Cricetulus griseus: one gene and its partner. The protein of the gene in region 1 binds, or shares a complex with, the protein of each later gene. Links are inferred from orthologs where the notes say so. Each region holds a gene or a part of one and is shown on either strand. Other genes may lie near its edges.

Region 1 (6,784 bases):
AACCTCAGCATGGACAGGAAAGACCAGGCCATAGCCTTGGGTAAATGGATCATGAGAAGAGTCCCTCTTGGCACAATGGCAAGAGTGACCATCAAATGACAAAGGAGGTCCATCTCAGTAGATAGTCCCAGTTAGAGAGGACTTTCTCACCCTGAGTACACTAGGCTTCTGGCTGAAGACAATCATATGGGTGGGGCATACATAAGACACCCCCATATCAGAACAGAAAATGGGAGGTGCCCTTCCTGGACAACAGGTAGGGAGATTCTAGAAAAGGCTGTGTTCAAGGAGGAGAACGGTCAGAAAACCAGAGAACAGTAGTCAGGTGAGAAGGAAAGAAAAGAGATCTGGGAGAAAGCTGGGAGACACAGAGAGGCAGAAAGGAATACGTTATCCTCCTCCCAAAGGACAGGTGGTTCCAGCTCAGGGCTGTATGTTCTCCTGTAGACAGGCTCTGGTCAGGGTGCATTAGCTCAGCCTCCCAGGGGGTGAAGGTCCCCAGGAGGGGAGACAGAGGCTACAACTGACCTGATATAGGTGGACTGGTCTCGGAAGTTATCACACATGGGGTTTCTGTCAAGCCACAGCTCTTCCAACTTTAGCCCTTTTATCTTGTCTAATTCCCGCTCAGACTTCAACTGTGAAGGATAAGGGGAGGGCAAAAGGGAAGAAAGAGACCCAAGTAAGAATAGCAGTTGGATCTCCACACTCCCAAATGCTACCTAAGTTTCCTTTCTTGCCTACCACCTTGGCCAACCAAACTCTTCTCACCCTCCCCCAACATAACAATAAAGCCAGAGCCAGTGGGATGGCTCACTCAGTGGGCAGAAGCTCTTGCTGCACAAGCCTCACAATCCACGTTCCAGCCCAAGAACCCACAGTGGAAGGAGAGAACCAACTTCCAAAAGCTGTTCTCTGACTTCCACCCACTCATAATCACTAACTAAAAAAAAAGCATCACTAGGTTATCAGTCCTTACTTCGTTTCCAGAGAGATTTAGGGTCTTTAGGTTCGGCGCTTTCTGTACAATGCTGGACATATCATCCAGCTTGAATAGTCTGTTGTTGCTCAAGTTCAAAGACAATAGCTGTAAACAGAACAAAATTTAGAAGTGTTACTACATGTAGACCAGAGGCAAGTCTGGTTCCTCATCCCTCATCAGGCCCCAACCCGATATATCCCACTTTGCTTTCTCATGCAAAAAAAGAAGCTGCACCTCAGGAATATTCTCTTCAATGATCTGCAGGGTGGCAGCCATACAGCTTCTCCGGTTAAGAACAGCATCAATGTTCTGGGCCACCAAATCTTCAGCAAGCAAAAAGAAAAAGAAGTCTGAGAGTTATACGAACTGATTGGGCCCCCTCTCCCTCTAGCCGGGACACTACTGTCATACCTGGGTCTGAGCGGAGGCCCTTGAGGTCAAGTGCTTGTTGGGAGCCATCATATCGTTTGCTCATGATCAGCTAGATGAAAAGAGACAGACAAAGAAAGGGTTTAGTGATCACTGAGGGAGAGTGAAAGACAACTGGGCCACTTAAGCCAGCCTCACCTTGAGCTGCTCTACTTGTTCAGGCTTCAGTTCTTTCTGTACACTGCGGGGTGGAGCAGAGGAGTTGATGATGATAGATATCTGAAGAGAAGACACAAAGGCAAGAGTATACTTGAGGTAGGCCAATACTTACTTAGTCCTTTTCACTCAGTGCATCAGCGTCAACCTATGCCACACCAGGCCCTTTGTCTAACATACCCTTCTGTTTTCTCGATCGTGAATCTTATAGTTCACAGCCTTTAATGCAGAAGCTGTAGTGGCATCTTCCACAAAAAACTGGGCCCGTGTGTTTTCATAGTGAAACTGGAAGAAGGAAGAACAAGAACGTGAGATTTGGAGAGCACAGGCCTTTGGCCAGCCTCCCAAGCCTCCCTTTGCCATACCTCAATGGGGTTGAAGGGGACACTGCACTTGCTCTGAATCATGCTCAGGAGCCACGCTTTGTCATACTTTTTGCCATAAGGAATCTGGAAATAAGAGAGAAGGGAAGCACATTTTAGTATTTTCTGCCAAGACTGAAAAGGTTTCTAGAGCTTTGGGGTGGAGCTCAAAGATAAAAGACATGCGTAACATGCATGCATGAGGCTCAGTGATAGAAAGGATGAGGCATGCTTACATGCATGAGGCTGGTAGAGCCCTTCTACCACAAAATAACTTTTTTCTCCTAAAGAAAGGACCAGGTGTGCTGGGCATATTGGCGCACGCCTTTGATCCCAGCACTCAGGAGACAGAGGCAGGCGGATCTCTGTGAGTTTGAGGCCAACCTTGTCTACCAAGTGAGTTCCAGGACAGCCAGAACTGTTACACAGAGAAACCCTGTCTTGAAATTAAAAAAAAAAAAAAAAAAGAAAAGGAGGAGGAGGAAGAGAAAAAGAAAGGAGCAGATGTATGGTTTCCATGCAAGATAAAAAGACTTCCTTAAAATTCTTTCCATATACTTATTCATGGCAAGATGGCTCAGACAACATGGCCACACATCAAATATATTAATTCTAAATCCTAAGATATTATGTGTACCTTACCTGCCCCACAAACTCCACAGTCACCTAGAGCCACTCTTAGCTTAAGAGTTACTCTACCTCCTGACCCTTCTGCTGATCATACTCAATCAGATTTGCCTTCCACCTGTCATTGTGCCTGTCCTTAACTCCCTGTCTTAGTCTTTTTCTTAGATGTTTTAGATACTCATTCTAAGGAAATGGTGGATAAATGTGATACTTGGTTGTTGAGTAAACATTGGAGAAAATGGATTTGAGGGGCTCAGAGTGGGTGTCAAACACCTTCACTGAGTATGGTCCCATTTCCTGAAAGAACTATTCTCCCAAAGTACTCACTGTAATCTTGAACCAGTTTTTGGTGGTCCCATCTTGGCTGGTCCCAGCCCCTCCTCTCTCTGGAGGAGCTCTGTCTCTCCTTACGGTAATATGAATTCGATCTCGATCATGCCAAGTATCCCCCCGACGGTTAGGCCGGTTGGGATAGGGGTTGCTGTTGGGAAGCAGAATTAAATTTCCATAAACACAAGATGAACCTGTCCTGCTAATGAAACTGTAGCTACTAAATGGTTTGGTCAAGTATCACTTTACAAAGTGAGAAGAGAAACGACAAAGGCAGTAAAAGGACTATATAATTTAGTGAGTCACTATTTAAAGCAGACCAATTAGTCACTTACTATCTTACTCGGGGGCCATCTTGGGCATCATTCATTGCCACATCTCCATCATCTTCCTCAAACCGGGAGGACCGTATACTAGAACCACCTCTTCCCGACCGACGATTCCCCTCACCACACTTCCATCGGAAAGGCCCACGGCCTTTCTTTCTTCTCTGAGGGAAACTAACACGGTCATCATGCTCTGGAATTGGAAAAAGGCACAAAAAGTAGTAATACATGAGTGCTCTTGGTTACCTTGGTGTGGCCACTTTGTACTCTTTCGAAAGCCAGACACTAACTACAAAGGCTACCTCCATATATATATATATAGACAACTACATCCTAGCCAGAGGAAAAAACTTTCTGTAGGGCATCAACAACAAGTTAATGGAAAACTGTAGGTCTACTGAAAAATAAAAGGGTTGATAGGCAGTGGTGCACGCCTTTAATCTCAGTGCTTTGGAGGCAGAGGCAGGTGGATCGCTGTGAGTTCTTCAAGGCCAGCCTGGTCTACAGAGTGAGTTCTTCCATTCCCCATCAGAAAGGAGCAGGTCTCCCAGTAATGTCAGCCAAGCACAGCATAACAAGATGCAGTTAAGACTAGACACAAACCCTCAGATTAAGGCTTGACAAGGCAACCCAGGAGGAAAATGGTCCCAAGAGCAGGCAAGAGAGTCAGAGATACCCCAACTCCCACTGTTAGGAGTCCCACAAAAAACTCAAGCTAAACAGCCACAGCATGTATGTAGAGGACCTAGCACAGACCCATGCAGGCTTCGTGATTGAGCCCCTATGAGCGAGCCCTACTTAGTTGATTCTGTGGGCCATATTCTGGTCCTCTGGCTTCTGCAATCCTTTCTGCCCCCCTCCTTCCATGGGGTTAGCTCTGCCTAACCTTTGTGTGTGGGTCTCTACATCTGCTGCTACCAGCTGCTGGAGGAGTAGTTTCTGATGATTACCAGGCTAGGCACCTCATTCTTAAGAGTACTGGCAGTTCTTCTAGAGGACCACATTTGATTCCCAGCACCCACACTGCAGTGCCCAACTTTCTGCAACTTCATTCCAGAGGCTGTCATGGGCATCCCAGGCACTCTTGTGTTACACAGATGTATAAGCAAGCAGGCAAAACACTCATATACATATAAAAAAAAGTCAGTAAGGAAAAAGAATGTAGCTCAGTGGTAGAGTGCTTGTTTAACACACTCAAGGACCTGGGTTTGATGCCCAGCATAGACTCAAAGCAGACAATAATAGCAAAAAGAGCATTTTTCATTTGGGTATGGTAGCCCATGCGTATTATACTAATAACTGGGAGGTAGAGGCAGGAGAATCTGGAGTTCAAGATCATTTGCCACTACATACTAATTTAACATCAACCTGAGCTACATGAGATCCTGTCTTAAAACAAAATAAAGTTTAAAGGGTGTGGGGGATGGGAGTCTCTCTCCACAAGTTCATATAAATCTTAGAAATCTGTGGGTTAGAGGCTGGAGAGATGGCTCAATGATTAGGTCCCAGAATTGGTTCCTAGCACCCACATGGCAGCTCCCAACTGTGCTCTGCAATGTGAATGCTGGGAAATCAAAGCTGGTCCTCTGGAAGAGTAGTCAGTGCTCTTAACTCATCTCTTCAGCCCCCTACAGCTTTCTAATAACTTGTTTTTTGATGTTTATGACCTATAAAAAGTTCTTTCCCCTGGCCAGGGCACAGGTGTCTATGTGGAGGTAGCCTTTGTAGTTCTAGGGGACCCAATACCTTCTTCTGGGCTCTGCAAGGACCAGACAGAAAACTAAATCTTTAAAAGAAAAAGTAATGAAAGGTGAAAATATCACAACACATTGTGTATATGTATAAAATTGTCAAAAATCATTAAAGTGAAGGGCTAGAGAGATGGCTCAGAGGTTAAGAGTACCGACTGTTCTTTCAGAGATACTGAATTCAATTCCCAGCAACCATATGGTGGCTTACAACCATCTATAAAGGGATTTGATTCCCTCTTCTAGAATGCAGACAGAACACTATATACATAATAATTTTCTTTTTTTCCAAGACAGGGTTTCTCTGTATTGCTTTGGAGGTTGTCCTGGAACTTGCTCTGTAGACCAGGCTGGCCTCTTAACTCACAAAGATCCACCTGCCTCTGCTTCCCAAAGTGCTGGGACTAAAGGCATGTGCCAGCACTGCTGGGCCTAAATAAATGTTTAAGAAAAAAATTTTGAAAGAAAACAAGTGAACCAGAAACTAGTTCCTACATAAAAAGTAAAACATGGCACCCCTGAAAACCACTTGAAATTTTTGATCTTTTGCCTATACATACAAATGAGGGCCACAGAGCCAGATGTGGGAAACAACTGTAATCTCAGCAAATGGGAAGTGGAGGCCTCAATTACACAAGTTCAAAGCCATCCTGGACTACATGATCCTGTCTCAAAAAATGAAAAAAAAAACTTACAAATATGACCTATTTTAAAACCACATAATAGCCAGATGGTAGTGGCTCACACCTTTAATCCCATCACTCGGGAGGCAGAGGTAAGTGGATTTTCTGTGAGTTAGAAACCAGCCTGGTCTACATAAGCTAGTAACAACCACCACCTCCTTGCTCTCAAACTGTCCTTCTGAATTTGGGCAATGCTCATTTCTGTGAGCAGAAGTGACTGCACCTCAAGGGACTTCTAGATGCAGGATCAGCTGGCAGTTCCACATTAGGGTCCTGGAGTGTTTTCTAATACACATGTGTCCGAAGCAGATCTCTGAGAGTTCAAGGCCAGCCTGGTGTACAAAGTGAGTTCCAGACAGCCAGGGCTATTACACAGAGAAACCCTGTCTCAGGGGAAAGAAAAAAAAACAAAAAACAAACAAACAAAAAAAACAAAAAAAAGGAAAATGAGCTGGACATAGGCAGGCAGATCTCTGTGAGTTTTCAAGGCCAGCCTCATCTTGGTCTATACAGTGAGTTCCAGTCAGAGCTACATATTGAAAAAAAAAAAAGAAAGAAAAAGAAAAAAAAGTAAATAAATGAAACCAAGTGCAGTAAAATACTGTGTTTATGTTTTTTAAAATTTTTTCTTTTTTGGTTTTTCAAGACAGGGCTTCTCTGTGGCTTTGGAGGCTGTCCTGAAACTAGTTCTTGTAGACCAGGCAAGTCTCGAACTCACAGAGATCCCGAGTGCTGGGATTAAAGGCGTGAACCACCAACGCCTGGCCACAGTATACTGTTTTTAAGGCAAGAGGATCAGAGGGGCTCAAGGTCACCCTCCTCTTTGTAGAGTTCAAAGCCAGACGTTGTGTATAGGTTTATATGTATATACATGTAGGCACTAACACAAAAGGAGACTGAGGATCAGCTCAGCTGGTAAAGTGCTTACCTTTATCCTTCACACACACACACACAGACTGAGGTTGAGGCAGGAGAATTTGAAACTTCAAGTCAGACTGGGCAACTTAGTGAGACCATCTCAAAACAACAACAAAAAGGATGAGAATTTAGCTCCATGGGAGGGGATTGCCTGGTGTATGCAAGGCCTAGTGTTCATCTAGCACAAAATAATAAGTCTCGTGGTACGTGCCTACAATACCAA
Region 2 (7,481 bases), on another chromosome or scaffold:
TGAGAACCATGTTAACTCAGATTCAAACATTCTCAGAGTGCCAGGAAACTGGGAACCTTGAGAATATGGTCTGTTGCAAGCCTGGAAGGCGAACACTGTTCTGCTCTTGCTATTTTGAGCAGGTAAGAACTTAATTCTTTGACTCTAGGACAGTTATCAAGGTCACCCCTGGTGACAGTTTGGGATATTTAAAGCTCAGCATATCCCTCCAAATCACTAACTTCTCATTCTTCTTCCCCGTGTCTTCCTAAGGGGTCATGTTTAGTGTTCTAGGATCTTAGTCAATTCATGGTGGAAACCTCACTTTGCCTTTTTATGCATTTTAGTAGCATCTCAGCTTGAACTTCGAGCCTCATCTTGTCACCAAGTCTGTAGGACTGGTTTGACTGCTCTAGATGTAGCTTTGGAGTTATTTCATAGGTATGACTGGCTAAGACACAAAGTAATATCACAGGGCTACTCTGGCACTTGTGGTCACTAGAGACCCAGAGCACTGCATGAGGACCCCACCTCTAGGTCACAGTCAGATTGGCTTGTCATTCATGATGAAGCCATGACCAGTGGTCTAGGATTCAGAGAGGAAGTGAGCATTTATTGAAACACAATCCTTCAGTTTAATTCTTCAACTTCTGCTTCATTGGCCAGAATCACATGTCAAATCTTGTGCTCAGACTGAAAAGTAATTTTCAGATGGGTGCTTTGTGTTACAGCTTCTGACGTCCCCTCCCAACCTTGGTGCTTCTGGTAGGAGCAGCACTCAGCTGCTCTTCACATATATCACCAATAACTCCCATCCCAGGTGCTACGGGGCAAAGCCAACTATCAGGTGAATTAACTTTTTTTTTTTTTATATAAATCACACATTAGGATAAGGGTACTTTTGAAAAATAAAATGCCAATGCCCAGATCTTATTTATAGTGGAGGTGCCGGCTAGGGATATGGCCCAGGACAGGAAATTTCCAATGTTTTAAGAATTCTAGTGTGGATAGGACTACCTACCACCTACAGCTCTGGATCCACCAAGATCACAGTGGGGTAAGAGCTCATCCCAGACCCACCTCTATAGGTGCTTCCTACTATGCTTTCTGCCTTTCACACTCTTCTCAAAATTTAGACACATAAGGCAGAGAAGCCACATTTATATTATTTATTTGTCAACTTCCAGAAACAGGGTCTCTACTGATTAAGTAGAAAAATAGAAAGTTTACTACTTTTAAAAGGCAACTATGACAAAACCAGTATATAACCAGGAAAGGGGTTTCTAGGACTCAAACATCCAGTTTGCAGTGCTGCTGTGACAACCAAAATGAACTGTGTTCTCCACATCCTGAGATTTGTGACTGGCATTTCTCTGCAGAGCTGGGCCAAAGCCAAGAAGCCTTTCTCACCCCACTAGCTGGCCCAGTCCTGGAATCGGAAGCAGTCACTTGCTATCTTCCACACTGTGTTAGTGGGTGAAGCCTGGGCAGTCAAGATGAAGTTCTGGTTGAAGTCCCGCTGTTTGTTGCCCTCAAACTTCACTGATCCACAGATCACCACAAGAACTGTGGTCTGGCTTGGTGTAGCTTCATCATGGACAGGCTGGCAGTCTACCACATTGATCTGGAACTCACTGGAAGGCAACATCTCAAAAAATTCATTCAAGGATTCTTGTCCTGAAACAGCATTTCCATTCCATACTAAAGTGGCAGTGCCCATGTACAGGCGGGATAGCAGCCGCCGCCGTTTATCCATGGTAGTGTAGTAGACATTGACAAACTCCTCTGCAGCTCTGCAGGCCTGGTCCACATAGGTCTTGAAATCCACTGATGCCATCTCTGGTTCTGCCGACAGAGGCCTCTGTCAGATTGGCTCCTCTGTGGGGATCCAGGGACTGTATGACAACAAAGATGATGGGAACACATGTGAATATCAAAGTCTTTTTTGCTCTGATAAAACTTTTTTAAGTTTCAATTTTTAAAATTGTATTTGTATGTATGTGGGTTATGCACCACCAAGTGGGTCCTAGGAATCAAGCTCAGGTTGTTAGGCTTGACAGTAAGCACTTATACCTATTGACCCATCTAGCCCCCAATCCTCCTTTTCCATAGGCTACAGAACATTACATACTGCAGGCACATGACTTTAGGCTCAAACTGTTGCCTATTTATTTTAAAGGCAGTGTTTCACTATGTAGTCCTAGCTGGCCTGGAACTGAGAGATACATCTGCCTCTCTGTCAAGTGCTGGGATCAAAGACATTCACCACCAAGCAAGCCCAGCATTCGATGCTTGTTTAATCTTACTAATCCTCAGATTCTTCATTAAAAAACCCAAAAAACATGAAAATTAAAAGACAATGCACATCCAGCACTGAGTTAAGGTTTAAGCCAGGAAGGGTGAAAATGGTGGGGCACACTAGAAAAGTTGAGGCATGTGCATGTGCCAGCCTGGAACAGAGAGAGCAAGCCTGATCTCAAAACCAACACAGCAAACCTGGTCTCAAAAAAAAAAAAGTCTGATATGTTTGTTCATCTTACAATGGGATTTAAAATCCACTTTATTACTAGAGCACATTTGGTGACAGACTGTTCTTTCCTGAAAGCTTGGAATAGGCGTGGCTGCCTCTAGGCAACCAGGGTGTGGCTCATCCTAGTCAAGATAGTGGCTAAAACTGAAGAAATAAGTGGTTACTGGCCCAACAAAGGCTACCAGAGGTAGAGTAGGTGACTGACAATCTGGGAAGACTACAATGAACTAACCCAACAAGGATTCAGGAGATGTAGGGAATGGCAGATTTCTCAGGAGAGTGGAGGATAGTGGTCACAATCCCCAAAAGAAGCCAGCCCAAGAATGATCGGAATTTCCATCTTTGCACTAATGCCCATCATGTAAGACCAGAGGGCTATAATACCGAAGCAGAAAGACCCTAGGATTCAAACAGATTCTAAATTTTATTTTATGTGCATTGGTGCGAGGGTGTCAGATATCCTAGAACTGGAGTTACAGACAGCTGTGAGCTGCCATGTGGGTGCTGAGAATTGAACCTGGGTCCTCTGGAAGAACAATCAGTGCTCTTAACAGCTGAGCCATCTCTCCAGCTCCCAAAAAGAGTCCATGAATTCTTGTTGTTGTTTGTTTTCCAAGACAGGGTTTCTCTGTGTACCTTTGAAGCCTGTTCTGGAGCTTGATCTGTAAACCAGGCTTGAACTCACAGAGATCCACCTGCCTCTCCCTCCTGAGTGCTGGGATAAAAGGTGTGTGCCTCCACTGCATAGCTCAAAGATTCTAATGGGGAGGGGATGGGCACAGTTTTATTTATATCTGAAAGATCACAGCTCCCTAAAAAATTTAAGTTCTAACACATAAACAGCATATTTTTTTCCTAACAGGTTTGACTGTTAATTTCTTCTATGATTAAAAATTTTCATTTAAAAGAAACCAGTATAATTTTACTTAAAATAGTAGACACAAGTAATTTATATTATTTGTCAATTTCCAGAAACAGGGTCTCTAGTGAGTAAGCTTAGAACTTCTTTTTTTATTTCAAGTACCCTTATTTTATTGACACTGGGTCTCTCTATGTATTTCTGGAGCTTGCTATGTAGACCAGGCTGGCCTTGAACTCAGAGATCCACCTGCCTCTGCTGGGACGAAAGGTGTGCCCGACCCAACTTTTCTCTATTTTTTTTTTTAAACTATCAGCTTACGAACGATGATTCCACACAGGGCTGGGAGGAAGCTGGTCCTAACGATGTGCAGTTCAGAGCCAGTTTAAGATTGCTCTTTGCCGGCTGGAGAGATGGCTCAGAAGTTAAGACTGCTCTTCCAGAGGTCCTGAGTTCAATTTCCAGCAACCACATGATGGCTCACAACCATCTACAATGAGATCCGGTGCCCTCTTCCAGCCTGCAGGCATACATGCAGGCAGAACATTGTATACATAATAAATAAAAAAATCTTAAAAAAAAGTTTGCTCTTTGCATTCTCTCCAAGAACCTCAGACTGAAGACTCAACAATCAGTCTGAAGTGTTGTGTGTTTAAGTAGTTTAGGATCATGCCCTCAATCGCTGCACACATGGGTATCCCTGTGACAACTTTACTAAGAAGGAAGAGGAACTTGCACACTCTTGGTCGACTCAAGGCCGATCTAGGAAAATCGAGGGGGTCAAGGCCATGTTGCCCTCTTTGGACTTTTGAGAGTAGGTCTATATGAAGACAGCTCCAGGGATGCCGGCCTGGGAATGTCCTCCCAAGTAGCCACATTTCTCTCTGCCCAACCAGCTCATCAAACGCAGCTTCCTTTAGACCACGATGCTCCCGGTTGACTTTTTCTCTTCTGCTTCCTCCAAACACAATCCAACAATGGTCACGCCCTCAAAGGATGATCGATCACCCCTACTTCTGGTCCTCAGCTACCCACAGAACCTGCTCAGCTCTCTCACACCAGGGGAAAACAGTAAGACCGAAACACAGTAGAGCGAGAAGCCAGGAGGATGCCCCAGTCCGCGGTCCATACTCTAGCTTCCTGGAGCTGGACCCCAGGAGCCGCAGCCGTGTCTCGGGCCTCACTGAGGTTCAGCCGGGCGTCGCTTATCAAAGCCGCTGGCAGATGGCAGCACGCTCTTTAGAGCCATCATCCGGCCCCAAACTGCTGCTCTCCTCCGGGCAGGGCAAACTCACCGCCACCGTTGTACACAGCAAAAAGCCTGATGCCCAGCTGCAAAGACACCACGTGGGGGAAAGACACCACCCGGGTCTTACTGAGCCTGAGGGGAGGCAAGGGGTCCCTCCGGCCACCGCGCAGCCAGACAGGGGCGGCCACCTACCTGCTCCGCCCCGGTCAGCGCCTCCAAGGCGACTCGGTCCCGGGTCCCGCCCCGGCCGCAGTCCCGGGCCAGAAGATTTACGCTCCTGCCCTCCTCTTCCTCCCAGAGGCTCCGCCTGAGGCGCCGGCGTCCTGGAGACGGGGAACGGTTGGTCGCGGGTAGCAGCTATCCCGCGCGCGGCGTGCTGCGTTCTACGCAGGCGCGAAGGTCTCGCGTCCAAACGGCTCCCGCCTTCGCGTGACGGGCAGCTACGCGAGCCAGTAGAAAGGCTGGCTCCGCCCAGGTGCGGCTGCAAAAACTGTGTGGCTTCCGGGGCCGTCACTAAGGGAGAAGTTCCGGCTGAGGGAGCTTCGATTGGAGAGCGTGAGAGGGGGGCGGGGCTACGCTGTTAGCAGCGGAAGACTTGGCTGCCGAGAGCAGTGCGGCTTGGGCGCGTCTGCCTCCCTTCGTCAGTCTGTGTTGGTTCTTTGTGAAGACTCACGGCTTGACGCCATCTAGGGAGACAGCAGCATGGCTGCAGTAAAGCTCTGGACCGAACCTAGTGTATAGGACGCCCGCAGTATTGGAGCCCGAGTGGAAAGCTAAGTGAGGGAGTCCTGTGGAAGTCCATGGGCTCAGTCATCTTATCTGACGCACCCTTTCTTAGATAAAGCCACTTAGAGTTGAGTTCCCCGCTAGCTCTAGCTGTGGCGAACCGTTCCTCCGCCTGTAAGTTTGATATGGTTAATCTGGAGCAGTCTTGTTTGTTTGTTTGTTTGTTTGCTTGTTTTTAAGACAGGGTTTCTTTGTGGCTTTGTAACTAGCTCTTGTAGACCAGGCTGGTCTCGAACTCACAGAGATCCGCCTGCCTCTGCCTCCCGAGTGCTGGGATTAAAGGCATGTACCAAAACCGCCCGGCCGGGGCAGTCTTGACACTTAGCGTTAGAATGGAACCATTTAGTGTAGGAACTTTAGAAACTGCCGAGGGTAACACAAAACCCGAAAAGCTCATTTTCCCGAGGCACACGGTTCTCTGCTTCATCTATCCGGCTGGGAGAACCCCCTGGAAGTGACTAGGTTAAATGAAGTACTGTATTTTGTTGGCAATCTCTTGGGTCCTTTTGTTCATGTTCCTAAGGTAACCTTTGCTTATAGACTTAAGAAACCAGATAGGCTACTTAATATAGGCCACTCCCCCACTGCAGTCAAGTAGGAGAAAAGTTTTCATTATTGAAAGAAGTTGGATTGCTGAGTGTCTTCGGAGTAATAGTTACACCAAAATGGCTTTATAAACCTGGAGGTAGGTAGTGATAGGCCCTAGGACTTTTCTTGAAAAAGAACTTGATTTTTATTCTATCTGTAGCCCTTGAGTTTGGGGAGATTAGAGATATCTCTGACTGCAGGGAACATATCAATGACACAGTTGAGGGTATGTATTAGCCAAGTTTCTCTAGAGTAACAGAACTTACAGATTGAATGAGTCTCTCTCTGTCTCTGTCTCTGTCTCTCTGTCTCTCTCTCTCTCTCTCTCTGTGTGTGTCTGTCTGTCTGTCTCTGTCTCTCTCTCATACACTGTGGTTCAGCTAGTCCAACAATTGCTGCTAATGAATGTAAGGCCCTAGAATACAGCAGTTGTTCAGTCAGTAAGGCTGGATGTCTCAGCTGCTTTTCAGTATATGCTGGAAGTAGGCTCTAATGCCAGTGAAGGAATGAACTTGCTAGCAAGGGTGAGAGCAAGCAGGCAAAGAGAAAGAGCTTCCTTGCTCCATGTCCATTATATAGGCTTCCAGTAGAAGGTGTGGTCTAGATTAAAGGTGGACCTTCTCACCTCAAAAGATATGGATTGAAGGTTTATCTTCCCACCTCAGAAATCAATATTAAAATTGGGTCTTCCCCCTTCAAATGATTATTTGAAAGAAAAAATCCCTCTCAGGTTTACCCAGCCATTTGGGTTTTAATTAAATCCAGATGTAGTCAAAATGACAACCAAGAATAGGCATCATAAGATATTTTGGAGTCCCAGTTACTCTCATTGGACTGGAGAAGGAGTTTGATAGGGCATTCTGGGAAAGGAGCATTTTTTCCTCTTTCCGTTTTGAATATGGGTATGGACAGCAGTTCTTCAGTCTTCCTCCTCCTCTGAGGAGAAATTGACTCATCAGTGATGAGACAGACAGGAAGGGTGAGAAGAAATCAGGCCTTTGGTGAGTGAGTGTTAGGACTGTCCTCTTCAGTGTGTGTGTGTGTGTGTGTGTGTGTGTGTGTGTGTGAGAGAGAGAGAGAGAGAGAGAGAGACAGAGACAGAGACAGAGACAGAGACAGAGACAGAGAATGTGATGTGCTGCCTAAATGCTTTGCCACTGTCCCACACTCAGCCCCAGTCTTCAGTTTTGGACTTCACAGTATCAAGAGTCAGTGTTTAAAGCTGGGCATCATTTTAATTACTTTCAGCTCAGCATTGTGTCCTTGAGTATAGGCAGTGTCATTGTGGCATGTGAGTTTGCCTGTCTAGGAAGCAGCTGCCTGATCTGTAAATCAGGGACACTAATGATATACTTGGAATGGCTTCACATGGGTCTGAATCCAAATTAGCATCCAGAAACATTAATGGGACCGAATTATGTTTTATATTTTATGTCCACAGCAACTTCTTCATTTGTCAACAATCCTTCTAATGAAATGATTGGCTTTTA

The links. The genes of interacting proteins can lie anywhere in the genome.
Region 2: the proteins of Nxf1 (region 1) and Nxt1 are in contact, whole or in part, in a crystal structure (PDB 4WYK), measured with the Homo sapiens proteins. The link is inferred for Cricetulus griseus from reciprocal best matches to the Homo sapiens genes NXF1 and NXT1. Residues at the interface, in NP_006353.2 of Homo sapiens: Ala366, Pro367, Thr368, Thr369, Leu370, Pro371, Pro372, Cys373, Lys374, Gly375, Tyr377, His411, Gly413, Cys415, Cys416, Ser417, Leu418, Ser419, Ile420, Pro421, Phe422, Arg440, Asn441, Val442, Lys443, Lys444, Lys446, Pro448, Thr449, Arg451; in NP_037380.1 of Homo sapiens: Phe6, Lys7, Val10, Asp11, Cys14, Glu18, Thr44, Val46, Trp47, Asn48, Gly49, Asn50, Ala51, Phe61, Met64, Leu65, Pro66, Ile72, Ser73, Val74, Val75, Asp76, Cys77, Gln78, Pro79, Val80, His81, Glu83, Ala84, Thr85.

The regions. Positions count from the first base shown.
Region 1 is NC_048596.1:51,330,813-51,337,596, forward strand, and holds part of Nxf1 (nuclear RNA export factor 1), read right to left. Parts: intron 3,406-6,784; coding exon 3,222-3,405; intron 3,038-3,221; coding exon 2,884-3,037; intron 2,017-2,883; coding exon 1,933-2,016; intron 1,853-1,932; coding exon 1,748-1,852; intron 1,631-1,747; coding exon 1,550-1,630; intron 1,464-1,549; coding exon 1,394-1,463; intron 1,306-1,393; coding exon 1,217-1,305; intron 1,088-1,216; coding exon 980-1,087; intron 639-979; coding exon 529-638; intron 1-528.
Region 2 is NC_048599.1:30,364,224-30,371,704, forward strand, and holds Nxt1 (NTF2-related export protein 1), read right to left. Parts: upstream 5,005-7,481; 5' UTR 4,810-5,004; intron 4,793-4,809; exon of another isoform or gene 4,664-4,792; intron 4,629-4,663; exon of another isoform or gene 4,500-4,628; intron 4,474-4,499; exon of another isoform or gene 3,690-4,473; intron 1,875-3,689; 5' UTR 1,817-1,874; coding exon 1,394-1,816; 3' UTR 1,133-1,393; downstream 1-1,132.